4 linked regions of the Macaca fascicularis genome follow. The protein of the gene in region 3 purifies or fractionates together with the protein of the main gene of each other region. This does not show direct contact. Links are inferred from orthologs where the notes say so. Each region holds a gene or a part of one and is shown on either strand. Other genes may lie near its edges.

Evidence for each region.
Region 1: the proteins of RYK (region 3) and natural cytotoxicity triggering receptor 3 ligand 1 purify together in Homo sapiens (affinity purification with mass spectrometry; 3 studies listed by BioGRID and IntAct, counting the BioPlex papers as one, with this or other methods). This does not show direct contact. The link is inferred for Macaca fascicularis from reciprocal best matches to the Homo sapiens genes RYK and NCR3LG1.
Region 2: the proteins of RYK (region 3) and PCDH7 purify together in Homo sapiens (affinity purification with mass spectrometry; 3 studies listed by BioGRID and IntAct, with this or other methods). This does not show direct contact. The link is inferred for Macaca fascicularis from reciprocal best matches to the Homo sapiens genes RYK and PCDH7.
Region 4: the proteins of RYK (region 3) and ADGRA3 purify together in Homo sapiens (affinity purification with mass spectrometry; 3 studies listed by BioGRID and IntAct, with this or other methods). This does not show direct contact. The link is inferred for Macaca fascicularis from reciprocal best matches to the Homo sapiens genes RYK and ADGRA3.

The regions. Positions count from the first base shown.
Region 1 is NC_088388.1:48,428,804-48,433,438, forward strand, and holds the start of natural cytotoxicity triggering receptor 3 ligand 1, read right to left. Parts: upstream 3,030-4,635; 5' UTR 2,784-3,029; coding exon 2,687-2,783; intron 1,931-2,686; exon of another isoform or gene 1,071-1,930; intron 1-1,070. UniProt on the Homo sapiens protein: Triggers NCR3-dependent natural killer cell activation.
Region 2 is NC_088379.1:29,920,235-29,924,896, reverse strand, and holds the start of PCDH7 (protocadherin-7), read right to left. Parts: upstream 2,952-4,662; 5' UTR 1,884-2,951; coding exon 1-1,883.
Region 3 is NC_088376.1:37,066,070-37,069,110, forward strand, and holds the end of RYK (tyrosine-protein kinase RYK), read right to left. Parts: coding exon 2,987-3,041; intron 2,009-2,986; coding exon 1,897-2,008; 3' UTR 870-1,896; downstream 1-869. UniProt on the Homo sapiens protein: May be a coreceptor along with FZD8 of Wnt proteins, such as WNT1, WNT3, WNT3A and WNT5A. Involved in neuron differentiation, axon guidance, corpus callosum establishment and neurite outgrowth.
Region 4 is NC_088379.1:21,659,988-21,664,635, forward strand, and holds the start of ADGRA3 (adhesion G protein-coupled receptor A3), read right to left. Parts: upstream 3,143-4,648; 5' UTR 2,885-3,142; coding exon 2,634-2,884; intron 2,584-2,633; exon of another isoform or gene 2,383-2,583; intron 1-2,382. UniProt on the Homo sapiens protein: Orphan receptor that may have a role in planar cell polarity pathway.

The sequences.
Region 1 (4,635 bases), on a different chromosome or scaffold from region 3:
TTTATTTAGAGATAGGGTCTTGCTGTGTCACCCAGGCTGGAGTGCAGTGGTGCTATCACTGCTCATTGCAGCCTCCACCTCCTAGGCTCAAGTGAACCTCCTGCCTCAGCCTCCCAAGTAGTTGGGACTACAGGCACACGCCACCATGCTCAGCTAATTTTTTGATTTTTTGTAGAGATGGAGACTTACTAAGTTGCCCAGGCTGGTCTCCAACTCCTGGGCTCAAGCAATCCTCCCACTGCCTCCTCAGGTGTTGGGATTACAGGTATGAGCCACTGCGACTGGCTAGATGTTTTCTATTTTAGAACAGTAGGTTGCCAGCAAGTTTACGCTTACACCAATCCAACAAAAAGTGCAAGGACAGTTCAAAATATTACATTTGCTGTTTCAAAGAAGAGTGCAACTCCAAAGAAGTCAGACTCATTACTAACAATGCAGAGCTAGACATCAATATTTAGATAAATGTCAGAAACCGAATTCCCCTTGTTGCCATCAAACATGTCCTTTCATTAGTCACACCCAACATATCTAAATAAAGTTTTCAAAATTAATGTTAACAAAAAATGTATCCAAAAACCTGCCAACTTACTCAAAGGTTTGTGCAAGTCTATTTTTAAAAATAATACATTAGGCAAACATGGTGACAAGCTTTATGTTCTATGTATCAAGGCAAAAACAGACTTGACCTACAAAATGAAGATAGGGTCAACTGTAACCAAAAAACAGTATGCTTCCCCCTGGTGGCCAACCAAAGAATGGAGGAGCCAAGGATACGAGAGAAATAGCCAGGCCACCTAGTTCTATTGTCACTCTTACAAATGAAAAGAGACTACCCAAAAAAAAAAAAAAAAAGAATTGGGGGGTCGGAGGGGGAGGGGAAAATACCAAAACACTAACATGTGCTTAAAAGGAATACAAACCTGAGTGCCAGACTACATAAATTTAAAAGATTTAAATCAACAAATCAAAATTTAGAAGGCAAATTTGGGAAACGTCGTCTATTTTCAGAGCGCCCAAGCGCTCACCCCGGACCTCCATGTATTTTCATTTAAAGGTACAGAGTTTAGTACCTTAATAACAGCTTAAGAGCATTCCCCTTTTTCAAGGACTAGATCCTTGGAATTTTCTGCAGTCTTGTTTCCAAGGAAAAGCATCTATGCATTTATCTTCTCAAATCAACTAGTGGTATAACCTGCATAGAGAATCTCCCGTTCTAGAGCCCTCCAACCAGGGAGGATTGTTAACTACAGCTTTACAAATTGCTCTTTTGAACTTCATTTCTGAAATAAAACCTAACGTTCTTTAAAACATTTTCTATATCAACAACCTTTAAAGACAGTCTCATACAAAGACGGGCTAGAATATCTTGCATTAAAATCTGACGAATTCCTTTGTCTGATTGGATTTTTTTTTCTTGTACCACTTTAAATTTGCTTCCACACAGAATAACAGCCCGGGAAATAGATGTTCCATTCTAAGGTGTAGGGATTTCTTGTGGGCGGAAATGATTTGTTAGGCGAAAGCTTCCGATGGTTTTCAATTTCACAGTGTCTTCCGGTGCCGAAGTCCAGCACCAACGCCTGGTTCTGGGGTCCGACCGTCATGCAGCGGCCGCCTCACTCCTTGTGGCTGGACGAGCCCGAACTAGCTTCCTCCCAGGAGCTGCTGCTGCTGCCACTAAAGCGCCGCCGCACAGCCAAACGGCGTTCCTTCCTCTCCGCTTCCCAGAGACCGCGCGGCCCTTCTCCACCACCGCCAGCATCCGTGGGGACGAGGACCGGACGAAAGTGGCTGGCACCCGAGGCTCCTGAGGAGGGGGCGCCGGGCCCGGGACCGGGTGGGCGCGGCGGGAGCCCCCAGGCGCCACTTCGAGCTCGAGGAGACCCAGACTGAGGGCGTGGAAGCGCTTCCAGCCACCAGCGCCGAGTCCAGCGCAAATTTGGCTTTCGTCGCCGCCCACACTTCACTCGGAACTGCCTTATTTTCACATTGCTCATTGCAAATGTATAGAAATGCTATTCCCTCGTTTTTATTTTCATTTCCCTCTCCCATTGGGCAGTCATTCTAAGGTGTTTAACATACATTTTTGTTCTCTTTAAGGCTGTATCTTCTGTTTCTCAAACTGTGGAAAGGGTATTACATTGTATGTCCACTGCTTGGCTCTTTGCCTTCAACATCCGTTCACGCTGCTCGGCAAGCAGCAAGGGCGTGGTGTGAAGCTGCCGCCCAGCGCTCCACGGTGAGGTCCACACGCGGCTCGCCTCCACCTGCAGTGACTTGGGGCGCCCAGAGCGCGCCTCCGGGATTCCTACATTCCCTCTCCAGCACCTGGTACCCAGGAGCGTATTGTGGCCAGCCTAGTAAGGGTCAAGCAGCATCTTGTTGTTTAATTGCCATTCTTCTAGTTAGAAATGAGTTTAAATATCTCTACATACGCGTTTCAGCCTTGTAGTCTCCTGTTTAAGTTAACGCAGAACATTCCCATACGAGTTCCCAAAAAAGTAAGAGAACTTTTGAAGGTCACCTCAAGATCAAAACACTCCCCTCCCTCTCTCAATAAAGACCTTACTTAGCAAAGCCAGGAGGACCCACTGATACGCGGGTGAATCATTTTCCTATTTTCCCCATTCCCTGATTTTCTTCTCTGCTCCGACCCCTTGGATGATGCAAGAGAGGAGCAGATTACCAAGGCACCGAGTGCGCGACATCCAAGGAAGCACCGTTTCCGCTCGCACAGGTGCCGACCCTGCACAGGGCAGGCCTTCAATATCAACCTGTTGCATCGGGGACTCCGCATCTCACAAAGGAGGGGCGCTTGAAAATAGAGCCTCCAGGCCCGGCGCTGTGGCTCCCGCCTGTAATCCCAGCACTTTTTAAGGCCGACGTGGGTGGATCACGAGGTCAAGGAGATCGAGACCATCTTGGCTAACACGGTGAAACCCCGTCTCTACTAAAACTACAAAAAATTAGCCGGTCGTGGTAGCGGGCGCCCGTAGTCCCAGCTACTCGGGAGGCTGAGGCAGGAGAATGGCGTGAACCCGGGAGGCGGAGCTTGGAGTCAGCCGAGGTCGCGCCACCGTACTCCAGCCTGGGCGAGAGCGACACTCCGTATCAAAAAAAAAAAAAAAAAAGAAAAGAAAAAGAAAAGAAAATAGAGCCCCCAGGCCCCAGGACGTCGCGGTCCCCTGGAGGGGCGCTAGGGAGCCAACCGCAAGGACCCTCTGGCGCCAGGCGCCTCCGCCCCAGCCCACCCCAGCCGCCTCCGCCCCAGCCCACCCCAGCCGCCTCCGCCCCAGCCCACCCCAGCCGCCTCCGCCCCAGCCCACCCCAGCCGCCTCCGCCCCAGCCCACCCCAGCCGCCCCCTACCTGCGGTCATCAGTGCGCACCACAGAAGCAGGGGCGCCGCGCACGCGGAGGAGGCAGCCCTCCACGCCATCGCCACGGCAGCAGCTCTGGAATTTTTTTCGCCGAGTGGGACCAGGCGGCCCGGTAAAAACCAAGGGCCGGGGGAGCCCTCTGTTGCGTGAAGAGTTGACGGAGACACAGCCGGGATTTCCAGCCGGCGCTTTTGCACATCCCACTTCTTCGGGTCCCTTCGGCAACTGCGAAGTCTCCGGGATTTCCAGGGTTCGCACTGCAGGAAGCCAGGCGCGTGACCAGCCCCGCCCGCGCCTCACTTTCGCGCCAGGGCGCACACCGGCGGGAGAAGCCTCCCTCGTCCCCGCCCACGGCACGAGGTTGCGCGGTTACAGCCCCGGTGCCTCTCGCGAGCGGCTCTGCAGTCCAGGACTCTGGGCATCCTCTGAGTTCGCTTAGTAAATTGAGGCCGGGATCCAAGTGGCCCGGGGCGCTGCTCTAAGGAGGATGCTGACCGCAGTCAGTGATTGCGAGAGCAGGTGCACGCGTCCCGAGAGATATCTTACCGTTGGCACGATAAACTTACATTACTTTAAAAACCAAAAGCAACAAAACCTTAGCATTGAGTCGAAAGCCAAATTAAATCCCCAGGACGATTCAGTTAAACGCCTGAAGGTGGCCCTTAATTTCCCATTTCTACTAACCAAGAAGTGGTTTGCGACCTCCTGAAGCAAACCCAAATATTTTCATTCGCTGTTTAAGTTTTACCACCTCTAGACCAGTTTTTAAATCAATTTAACCGCAAAGTTCAGAACCCAAGTGGCACTGTAAAGTGTGTGCATTTGTAACGCACAACCTGCATTCTTTCCCCAGCAACCTGCATTCCATTTGTCTCATTGACCCTACTGCATTTTTCCTTCACATCATTAAAAAGGATGTAATGTACAGAAAAGCACAGACAGACCTAAACTCCAATGCCAGTCATGCCATCTGCTGATTATAGGACAGTGGGTAGTGACCTCATATCCCCAGCCTGTTTACACATCTCTAAAACTGAGAAAAAGCAGGGTTAGAGATACTGTCACTAAGCAAATAGTCACATCCTCACTTATCTGCAGAACAGAGTACATGCATAAAGAGCCCGGAAATGAGAGATGCGCAGAGGGCCCACAGTGGCAGCAACTAGCTGAGGGGCCTTCAGATTGCAGCTTTCCGGACCACCGTTGTAACAGGTAGAGATGTGCAAGGTTAAGTCTGGCTATTGCATTTTAAAAACC
Region 2 (4,662 bases), on a different chromosome or scaffold from region 3:
TGCACAATCACTGTAGTGCTGCCCTGCAGCACGGGGATGCCTTTGTCTTTGGCGTTAACTTTAAACTCATACCTGTCAGTCTGCTCGCGGTCCAGCACCGTATTGACCAGGATGTCCCCAGAATCGGGATCGATGGCAAAGATCCCCATCACAGAGGAGTCCAGCGAGTAGGCGATCTCAGCGTTCTTTCCGCTGTCTGCGTCTGTCGCCAGCACTGTGGCCACCCTCTCGCCCGGGATGTTGTTCTCAGGGAAGTAAACCTCCACCACCGACTGGCCGAACACAGGCGGGTTGTCGTTCGTGTCTCCCACCTTCACAATCAGGGAGTTGTTGCTCGAGAGGCTGGGGCTGCCTGAGTCCACCGCCACGATGACCACGTTGAACTCCCGGGTGGTCTCATAGTCCAGAGGGGTCGAGGTGTGCAAAAAGTACTTTTTCTTGTTCTGGTCGCCCTCGGTGTCGCTGGCTGGCTTGAGCTGGAAGGGCACGTCGCCCACCACGGTGCAGGTGACCACCCCGTTCTCGCCTTGGTCTCGGTCGGACACCTGCACCAGAGCGATGGGGGTGTCGACCAGAACGTCCTCGGCTACGTTGGCCACCCCGTCCTTGAGGGGGATGCGCCCAATCTTGCGGATTTCAATGGATGGCACATTGTCATTCTCGTCTTTGATGTTAAGGACCACGGTGGCCTTGTCGGTCTTGGGGGGCTGCCCACGGTCGCGGGCCATGACCGTGAAGCGCAGCTGGTTCACCTCCTCGCGGTCGATCCGGTGCAGGACGCTGAGCCAGCCGGACGTCTCGTCAAGGCGCAGCAGTCGCCTCACCGACTCGGTGGCCGCCCCGAACACGTACTCGATCTGCCCATTGACCCCCACGTCCAAGTCAGCTGCGCGCAGTTGCAGGATGGGGGTCCCCGGGGCGCTGTTCTCAGCTAAGTCGGCCTCGTACACGCTCTTCTCGAAGCGGGGGCTGTTGTCGTTCACGTCGGTGATGAGGACCCGTAGGATGGCCTGCGAGGAGCGAGGCGGGTCGCCGCCGTCGCGCACCCGCAGGGTCAGCTCGTAGGAGTCGCGCTGCTCGCGGTCCAGCGCCCCCTTCACGATCAGCTGCGGCTGCTTCTCGCCATCCGGGGTGTCCGCCACCTGCAGCTCGAACACGCTGCTGCGGCCGCCGGGGTTGGTGCCGCCGCCGCCCTCTGATGCGTCCAGCCGCCGCTTGGAGCCTCCCGAGCCGCCGCCGCTCGCGCCGTTCCCGCCGCCCCCGGGATAGGGGGCGCTGTCGGCCGCCCCGGCGCGCCGGCTCTCGCCGCCGCTGCCGCCGCCTCCGGGCTCCTGGAGCAGCTCGTAGCGCTCGATGCCGTTGCGGCCAAAGTCGCGGTCAGTGGCGGTGGGCAGCAGGTAGAGTGTGCCCACCGGCCGGTTCTCCTCCACCGTGAGCGTGAGCACGGGCGACGGGAAGGTGGGCGTGTTGTCGTTGATGTCGAGCACGATGACCCGACCCTCAAACAGGTCTACCCAGCTCTGCGAGGGCCCGATCACCGACACCTCGAAGTCCAGGAAGCACTCGTTCTCGTCGAAGATCATCTGACACTGGGGCAGCTTCTCGCGGTCGATGCGCCTCTCGCTCGTGCTCAGCTCGCCCGTAAGGTTGTCGATCTTCAGGTACTCGGAGCCGGACTCCAGGCTGAAAGTCACCTCACCCGATCCGGTCACGATGCCCAGGTCTGAAGCCACGTTGCCGATGCGGACGTCGGCGGGGCCCTCCTCGGCCAGCCGGTACCGGAGGAGCTGCTTGGCGGCCGCCAGGCTGAGCGAGAGCGGCAGGAGGAGGCAACAGCCCAAGCACCAGCCGCGCGCCCATCCCGCGGTCCGCATCCTCAGCATCTTCTCCTGCTGCTGCTGCTACTGCTCCTTCTAACCACAGCCCCCTCGGCGCCCCCCTCCTCCGGGGCCGGCCGCTTGCCCTCCTCCCAGTCCTCTCCCCTCTCCCGGAAAGGAAGGAGCGAGAGAGAGGGGAGGGAGGGGGCAAAAGCAGCGTGGAGAGTCGGCCGGGAATGCAGGTGGGAGGGCAGCGATAGATGCTTTTTTTTTTCTCCTGCTTCTTCCGAAAGTTATTGTTTCATAATTCATGCAATGGGTGCTAATCGCCCGCTTGCCGGCCGCCGTTCAGTCGCAGTACTCACAGTTCACGGGACACTGCGCGCCGCGGGTTCGGCGCCCCCCCACCCAGAGTCATTCCCGCAGCGGGCGGAGAATCCCCGGCTCTCGTCCCCGCTCTGTCGGAAGGGGCCAGAACTGCTCCGGCAGACGGGCAGTGGGGCTGGGAAGAGGTGGGGAACGAGCTTGCAGCCTCCCCCGCCTGCCAGCCCGCCGGTCTTTGCTGCTACTCGAGTTGAGTCCAATTCACGTTCCAGACACTCACTCCAAACCCAGGCTCTGCTCCGACTCCGGCCGCCCAGGCAAACGTGAGTCGCTTCCTGCACCAGGCGCTGGGGCCAGCAACAAGCCAGTCTCAACTCCGACTCTGCTCAGGCAGCGGGGGAGCCAGTCAACAGATAGAGAATGAAAAATCCCCCGGCACGTCGCTTCGGGCACGGTGCAGTGGAGACTACTCGCGTCACAGCGCGGTCCGCGTCCGGGTCCCCCCGGCGCGCCAAAGAGAAGCCCGAGCCATCTTCAGAGACGCCCAGAGAGTCAGTCCCTTCTCACCCCGGAGAGCGCGGGTTTCTCTTTTTTCTTAACAACTCTGCGCAAGGTCATTAGTCACGAAGCCGCCGCCTGAAACCGCAGCAGCCTTTCGCCCGCGGGGGCGAAGGCTGAGCCGTGCGCACCGTGCGGTGCCCAAGTTTGGGTTCGCAGCCGCAGAGTCCGTGCCTTTTCTCACCTGCATTCGGCCCGCATGTCGGAGCAGTGGGATCTGCAGCGCTGTGCGCGATTCAGGGAGGAGATTGCAGCCTCTCTCTCTCTCTCCCCGCTCTCTCTCGATCCCTCCCCTCCCTCCCTCCCTTTCTCTCTCCTCCCTCCTCTCTCTCCTCCCTCCTCTCCTTTCCCCTTTCCCCCTCTCCCACTCGCTCTCTTGCACGCTCTCTCTCCTTCCTCTTAGTCCCAATGCAGGGAACTCGAGCTGAACTTGATCCCTTTGCAGTTCAAAGGTGAGCAAACCAGGCTCGGAGCACAGGCGACGTTAGCCGGCGAAAGCGCACGGCTGGGCGTCCCCAACGGCAATTAACAAAGATGCCCAATTCTGTCTGGATTTCCGAAGAAAAGCCAAAGGCTTTGGGGCGGGGGTGGAAGGGGAGGTGGAGTCAGAGACAGCTGCCAAGTAGCTTTAAAAAAAAAAAAAAAAATCCAGTTTGCCAAGGGGAGAAAAAGTGCCAGTCGTTTGTGGCCTCGGAAGTGCCCTGGCACGGCTGGTGAATTCCGCAGTTTTCTCGTCCCTTTCGCGTCTGGGAGAGTCTGGTGCGGGCGCTCCCGCCGCCACTCAGGCTGCAGCGGCTCGGAGACACTGAACCGCTAGTAGGAAGCTCCCGTTCGCTACCCGCGAGCAGGAAACCCGCAAGTTGCCCAAAGTGGTGGTTGCTGCTGGGAGCTCGCTCGCTCACGGATCAGGCTTGTCCCTGACGCTGCTGCTGCAGCGGCGGCGGCAGTAGCTGCCCAGCCGCCGAAACTACACACAGGGAGAGAGCGAGGGAGGAGGGCCCGGGGTAAGGAGGCGGGAGGGAGCGTCAGCCAGCCTCCGCGCTCGGGAAAGCCCAGCCTCAGCTCCAGGGGCCGCTCAAAGTGTGCCCAATCCCAGCCAGACCTCTTTAAGCCAAAGCTCAACGCCCCCCAGCGAGTACCTCCGTCTTCTTCTCTGGGGGACTTGTTTTCCCTCCCTCGGGCTGGTAAATTTCCTCCTCCCTTAACTAATGCCCAGTTCACGCGTGAGAGCTTTTCGAGCTGTGTCAGGATAGATTTCTCCTTCTCCCTCTCTCTCAGACGACGTCCTCCCCCCACCCCCTCCACCCGGAAAGTGTCTCCGGTTCGCGATTTAGCATCTTGGTTAGGACATGGTTATCGGGGTCTTGGGGAACACACAAGAGCCCAGAAAGCCACTCTGTTCTGAAAAACCGTGACGGGCTGCAGTAGTGAAGAGAGAACATCAAACTCCAGAGAGCGGGAGAAAGATCCTTTTTTGGGAGCTCAGACTTTGGATGGTTGCGGGGGGGGGGGGGGCGGGGGGCGGTGGGTGGAGGGGGGGGAAGGATGCCTGTCTTTGTTTAAATGCTTGACATTCCTGTCGTCGTGCTTGCTTATGGGGGTAGACCGTGTGTGCGCGCGCCTGGTGAATAAACATGTTGGAAACCTCGATATTATTTTCTGAGCAGAAACCTGCAGCCTTTAGAAACTGGCAAAGTGTAGCGTCACCTATCTGGATAAAAGGGAAATAAACTTTAATGGTAACTTTGTGTACCAAAGTGTCCCCAGCTTTCCATCTCTCCTTTTGACTTTCTGCCACTTGATTGTCCCTATTTCTCCAAGCAAGGCGTCTACAATTTTCATTCACGACCACCGCAGCCGGCCTCATCAGATCTCAGGTCTGGTTGTTTTCTGAACTGAGCCATTTACTCATTTATTTCAGTGGCTGTAAACGAAGAGGCCCGGCTAGGATTAAGAGGATTGA
Region 3 (3,041 bases):
AAACACAAAAAGATAAGGTTACAAGCACCACAGCATCCACCAAACTGAGGACATTTCTTACTATCTGTTAATTGGGGATAGAAGTCAAGTGTCAGTACTTATTTTTTTAAAATAGATCATGTACATGTTAATAAACTGTGATTTTTAAACAATGCACTCACTTGAACACAAAATAAGACTGCCCTGAATACTGGAAGGGACGCTCGAGCTGAACCACTCCATGTGGAAAATACACAGTAAGTGCTATAAATGTTGACTGAATGCCTTCTAAGAATGCAGGTTATGAATGAAAATATAATTTACAAATGGTTCAAAGGGACTTTTTAAAAAACAGTCCTCCAGGGACTGGCTTCATATGAGTATTTATAAAACCAAAGAACTGTTAACAAATGTACACAGAAAATCATGCCCTGAGCTTACTTGTGGAAAACCAGGCACTGTGTGAGCTATCTTTCCAGATGCGTTGCTGATTCATAAAGCTTGTTTAAAAACAGCGAAAGCCTCCAACTGCTGCACATTCTCCCTCATATATCTGTGAAGATGGGAGCAGTGGCAGTACCTGCAGGCCTAGCTACTTAGGAGGCCCATTCAACTCTGCTTTAGGCCAACTAAAACTGAGCATAAATACATACATACCCCTTACTTGCTGGTTTTGGAGAAATGTTTCAGTGTTTTAATACTTCCTTATAACATTAATTCCAACTTTTCACTAGAACCTGGAGACTGAGCCAGCTGTAACTGTGTTAGGGCTTTGGAACTTGACTGAAACATCATGAAATAAAACACACATGTCCAGCTGTTGAATGTTCAAAGACTGACCAGACGCAATAAGCAATCATTCATTATGAAAAATAATTTCAATACTGTCATAATATAAAACAAATCCTTTAATTTTTCAAGTGTTTAAAAAAACAATTTTATACTTAAGCCAGCCTTGAAGATAAGCACAAAATTTACCAGTTTACATTTTTTTTTTTTTTTAAAAGAATGACAACAACTCAGGCACCCACTCTGTGCATAGCACTATTCTAGGTGCAATAAAAGGGAATCTTAACCTTAGAAATATGAGTTCACTTTCTGGAATGGTATTATCTCCTTTTCCAGAGAGTAAAAATAAATAAAATCACCATTGTTTACTACAGATCTGCCCCAAACCACTTCTGGTTCACAGAAAGGCTAATTTCTGCCAAATTAAAGATGTAATGAACTCAGTTCCTGCTTTCCCAAAAAATACGAAAGCAGAATTCCTTTTCACTGAAAAAAATAAACAGTTTTCCACGCAAGGGCAGTTTGCTTCTAGTAAGTATTAAAAAAAATTGCTTTTTTCCTCTAGCTTTTCTTTAAATTTTCTTCCTCTAATACTGCCTTTTCTTGTACAAGGCAAACCAGGTATCTTTTAATGCTGTTTTTCCTTTCCTAAGAAAAGCATTGCATTTTGAAGATAAACCATTTCCCAGAGTAGTGACAAAAAATAACGTTAAAAAAACTTTAAAGGTGAGTCACTTACATCACCTTGATGAAGTAAAAAAATAAAAAGCAGTTGGCACTAAGATAGCTAATTCCAAATATCTGTGTCTAAACAATTTTAAAAACTGTTTATTTATTTTGTAAGAATGTACCCCTAGTCCAAAGTAACTATGTTTTAAAAAATTTTGGCCAAAAAATTTACAAAAACCCTTTCAGTTCAACCTAATAAAAGTGATTATCTAGAAAATATGCCACATTATTAAGTCTGTCTTAAAAAGTTCAGATTCTAAAGCATTCCTAAGGCACGGCGTTCTGGAAGACGAATGTGCTTCTGTTGGCGTTGTGTTAGATAGGAAGCATCCATGACAGGCTTCAAGAGAGCCGCGACAGGCACCTTCCTCCTGATGCTGCGGGATTGGGAGAGAAGAGTCAGACGTAGGCCCCCAGGGCTGCGTGAAACTCTGTTAGGCACTGTACCAGCTGCTGAAACTTGGGCCTCTCCTCCGGATCTAAGGCCCAGCAACAGGCCATCACAGCAAATCTGCAGAGTGACAAAAATGAAAATTTGGACTAGTAAGGATACAGTATTCCTAAACTTTTGGTCAGTTTGATGCCAGTTATGCTGCCTGTCTAAAGGTGGGTATCGAGAGGATGATATATTAAAAACGGATTCATTTTACTATCTGTTGGCAGCTCTAGAAAGAAGCTAAAAGAAATTATTTGGATTACATGTGTGAATTTCAATTCTTCATGACAGCATATCAAAATATTTCAGCAAATACAGAGAGTTCATATAAAAACCTAAAATACAGTCAAAAAAGAACAACCTGTGTTTTCCTGTAGTTAAATTAAGAAAAAGAACTTGGAGGAAGAGAAAGTTTTATCTAAGTTGTATGAACCCTGGATCTAGAGTAAAATCAGTACAAAAGCTGCCACTTTGTCATGGTGCAGAAACTTCAGGGAGTTCTGGAACTGAGAACATACTCATCTGTACAATCAATCACCCTGAAGAGCCTCCTGTTTATCCCATCCTCATTACATGGCAAGATAAGCTACGTGATAGAAGCAGGAAACAGAAAGCAACTATTTTGCTTACTAGTCCAGATCATCTTCCCTGTATCAGCTGATACTAACTGGCAAGGCAAAATGACAATGAGAAAGGTTTTATAACTACTATGTCCTTTATAATTACTTTATAACTACAAAAGTCAGGTACTCACTCTGTATAGAATAACTGACATAGTATTCAATTTTCTTAGTACACCCTCTCAGACTAATTTATAGTGCTTAGATTATGCACTATAAAATAAAATGCAAGGCATTCTAATACCAAATGCATGAAAGAGTGAATGAATCTCCCTGACTTTGTGGTTCTTTATAAGAGTCTAATTTAAATCCAAAGAGTCATTATTCTTAAAAGGGAAGGCTCTATGTGAATATGGAAACCTGCTCTTTTTCCTTTATTCCAATATAGTAAATGGAATAAAACTCATGCCTTCAAGCTCAAAAAAAAACTCACAATTCATCAGGACAGTTGATTGGCTGGGCTATTCGGTAACCATCTTTCAGGTATG
Region 4 (4,648 bases), on a different chromosome or scaffold from region 3:
GGCACTAACACACAGTCCAAACCTCAACACGCTACCTACTACCTAGGGGCCGCTCAACAAAAACTGTGCTCAACTAAGATGAAGGCAAGGCAAGGAATGAGAAAGCATCTGAACTGCAATCTGGGTTCAGCATCTGGGATGTGGACTCAGATGCTGCTCTACTATGAGAATTCTGGTGAGTCCCTTATCTACAGTAACTCTAACTCTTTCCCCAGTAAAATGACGAAACTGGCCCACAAGACCCCTCTACGGGGGACTCATATACCTTGAACCCTCTTCAGCCAGAATAACGCCTCATTTTTTTTTTTTTTTTTTGAGACAGAGTTTCATTCTTGTTACCCAGGCTGGAGCGCAATGGTGCCTTCTCATCTCACTACAAACTCTGCCTCCCGGGTTCAAGCAATTCTTCTGCCTCAGCCTCCCAAGTAGCTGGGATTACAGGCACCCGCCACCACGCCCCGCTAATTTTTTGTATTTTTAGTAGAGATGGGGTTTTCATCTTGTTGGCCAGGCTGGTCTCTAACTCCTGACCTCAGATGATCCACCCACCTCCACCTCTCAAAGTGCTAGGATTACAGGCGTAAGCCACCACGACCCGCAGAACAGCTTTAATTGATCCTTAATAGCATCTTCTTCCCATTCACTAAATTAATTTTATTAATTTTCTTTTCTTCTTTTTTTTGGCTCAGAGTCTCACTCTGTCACACAGGCTGGAGTGCAGTGGTGTGATCTCGGCTAACTGCAATCTCCACCTCTCGGGTTCAAGTGATTCACCTGCCTCAGCCTCCCAAGTAGCTGGAATGACAGGCACACGCCACCACGCCTGGCTAATTTTTGTATTTTTAGTAGAGACAGGGTTTCGCCACGTTGGCCAGGCTGGTCTTGAACTCCTGACCTCAAGTGATCTACCCGCTTTGGCCTCACAAAGTGCCGGGATTACAGGTGTAAGTCACCATGCCCAACCTTAATTTTATTTTCATCTAAAAAGCTTTCAGGCAAAAAAAAAAAAAAAAAACCTGGATTAAAATGACATTTCATACTTATATTTTAACCAGTTCATATGCTGAAAATCAATTTACCACCATATCCCCTATTTTTTTCTGCAAAGCAACATCAGCAATTTACTAGTAGTTGACCCAATCCAGCTGGAATTGTTGACACTTTTAGGTCAGAAAAACTGCACCTAAACATGAGTCAACGTAAATGCCACTAACTGACCCCAAACCTAAATGTTTATAACACAACTGCATGATGACTAATTTTTTGCAGAGTAACAAAGAAAATCTCCTCCAACATTGGAATTTTCTCCACTTGCACTGTAATTGAAGTCCCATACCGAAAATTTCCACTTCAAAGAATCTGGCTAAGAAATACATAAATATAACTGCTGCCACCACCAAATGGTAACGTGTTAGTAAAGGAGTCAAACAAAACAAAAACTCTTTCACCCATCTTCAGGCCTCCATAAACACATAGACACAGTTTTCATGGTTGAATGTTTCCTAATTCCAAAAATGGAAATGAAGGGTAAACAAAGGTGTTAGTAATGAAATGTATACCTGGCCTACCTGTATATACTCCTGCTGAATTTGGGTTACATTTAAAACGATACTTTAAGTGTTCTCATAGATCATGCTGCGGCCCTTGCATTCATGTTTGTATAGTGGCTGCCTTGATTCTTTTTTTAGGAAACCAACCAAAACAACATAAAGGAACCCCGAGCCAAGGGACTCACATTTCAGTTGAACAAAATACCCATGAGAAACACTTAGACTCAAAACTTTCCAAACCAATTCATCCTTCTGAAAACAAACTCGACAGTCACTGGGGCCAACTGTTCAGCTAGAATTGGCAGAACTACGTTTGCAAAACTGAACCGTGAATCCCAGCACAAGTGAGTTACCAAAATTTTTCCTTCCAGGTGGAAACTCAATCCGAAAATCAAAAATCCCTCGAGTTGGAAGGCTCAATAAACCCACAGTATTCAATTCCAAAGTTCCTGGCTTTTAAATATGAGCCCCCACAGACACGAAAACGGGACTGCAAGGTACATAAACAGATTGATCTGAAACGTTTCCAGCCCTTAATAACAACTCTATCTTAAAAAGTGTTCTTTAACTGTAATAAAACTAAGATAGCAAAAGGCAAAGGAAGCGTCTTGGGGTTTCGGCTCGCACACAGTCCTTGTGTTTTGTAAACTCTACCACGTAAGTGTAACTTAATTTGCAAAGAAGCAGAAGGACTGGCGCTTGTAATCAAGCATTGTGTTTTCTGGAAGCCCAAGCCCAGGATGAATGAGCTTTAACTCTGTCGACTGCGTGTTTACTTGCATCCTCACGTGGCACACCGCACAGCCCAAAAGCGCTGCGCCCGGGACAGCGCGGGGCGCGCCTGAGAACCCGAAAACTTTACTTTGCAAACTAGTGGAGCTGAGAGGCAGCTCAGACGCAGATTCGCTTGCCTTTCCCTGAACTGCACCCATGCCAAGCACACGAGGTCTTTCCTAGCACCACCCCCTACCTACAGCTCCACACAAAGGCGCGTGGGTGCCGGCAGGACCCCTCTCCAAAGTTGAGCGGAGAGGTAAGAAAAAGCCGAGCGGCACAGGACCGGGCGTCCCGGGAAATACTCACAGGGTGACCGTGCGGTTGGGCAGAGTATCTGGGGGCAGGACCTGCGCGAGCTCCAGGCTGCTACACACCACCTTGCCCTCGGCGGCACCCGCCGCTCTGCCAGACCCTCGGGGCCGCCCATCGTGCTTGCAGCCGGCGGGCAGCGCCGCGGCGCCACCGCCACCTCCCAGCAGCGCTAGCAGCGCTAACAGCGAGAGCTGCAGCAGCAGCGGCGGCTGCGCGCGGCCCCGCCGGCGTCCGGGTGGCTCCATGCTGCGGGCCGGGGCCTGCGGGGAGAGCGGCGGCGCACTGGCCTAGCGGGCCGCCCCAAAGTCCGGGCGGGCAGGAGCGCGGCGCGGGCTCAGCGGCGCCCGGAGCCTCATGGCGGCCGGAGGACGGGCCCTCCCCGGCGCCGACATGCTCCTTTGTCCGCTGCGGCTGCGCTGGGCCTCGAGGGAGCCGGGGGTCACGGCCGCACGGGTCCCAGTGCTGCTCTACCGCCCGGCGCGAGCACCGCCTCCTCCTCCGCCGCCGCCGCCGCCTCCTCCCCTGGCCAGGACCCGCGGCGGCTCCTCCCCGCCCGCCGCCGCCGGCCGCCTCCGCCCCTGCCCCTCCTCCTCCCCGGCTCTCCTGCTCTCCCGGTGTCTGCGGCTGCCCGGGAGTCCGGAGAGGAGGCGCACGCTCTCGGGACCTGCCGAGCCCGACTCCGACCCGGTGCGCGCCCGGGCCTTGGCCTCCGGGCAGGAGTTGTGGGGAGCCCGCGGGAAGGCGGTAACTCGTAGAGAGGGCCAAGGAAAGTTCGAGTCCAAACTCCAGCCGCGGTGGCCACTCTTCTGCTCGTTTCCCTTCGCCGTCACCGCGCTTGCACCACGGGCACAGGACAAAGCCGTCCTGTGCGCTCCTGGAGACTGCCCATGTGGCCCAAGGAGCCTGACCCGGAGGATGGAGTAGAGAGAAGAGCAGGGAATTTCCCTGAGCATCCCTATGGGGAAAGTACCCAAAACCAAGTGTTTCGGAAGGAATCGCCTTCTCACCTCATTGTGGTAGTCCCATTTGTCCCAAATACACTCGAGCCAGGAAACAGGTTCCTCTTCAATGCGGTGAACAATCTGAAACTGTTTCTAGCCTTCAGCGACAACAGCGATAGACTCTAGAGGATGCATCTGGACCTCACTAGAAAGGCTGCCTTTTGAAAGAAATTTGACAGGCAAAGATACCTGAGATGTTCACCAGTTCGGGCAATAATGAGAGAACCCTCCAAGAAACCCTAACAGAATTGATTACTCTGACTTCTAGCCTCGCCCTAACATTTGCAAGCCCAGGGCTTACCTACCCTATGTTTGAAATTTTACAAGGATTCTATGATGCTAATAAAGTATGTTCTGTGCTCCTGCTTTGAGAAATTACCTCCATTACAACCTGGAAGGTTTGTAAGCAGGATTCTCAGACACTTTGGAGTTTCTCCCTGAAACACAGCATGTGGGAAAGAGTCAGATCCAAATCTTTGGCCTGTACACCCTCACCGCCTTTGCGTCCTGTGCCCAGCTGTCTTCAAGGACAAGAAGGGATTTTTGTACCTGTGTGTGAACACTGCAGCCCACAAAACCAAGTTCTGTTCACACTTTCTACCAGCCACCCTTTGTCTGCCTCTCGAGCCCAGGTGTGCCTATACCAGTTGTTGGGTCCTTCATTGGGAGGACAGTTCTCAGAGGAAGCTAGCTCAGGGCCAAGAAGTGGCCTTGGTAATATCAGTCAGGGAATTCCAGGGTCCTGAGTCTTGGGGACATAGTGGTACCCAGGCTTTGGGTGCTAGCCTGGAGATTTTTCACCCCATAAGAAGAGTCAGGTTGGTGTCCTCTAAAATGGAGGGCCCAGAGCACGGTTTTTCTTGCTTGAGTCTAAGGGCATTACTGCCTCTGGCCCCTACAAAATTTATCTTAGGGACCAATTTCCAGGAATTGATTTATCTGACTAGAGCTTTCTCAATGGGAAGTAAATAAATGGTCTCCATTTATCATATACTGTTGTATTAAATT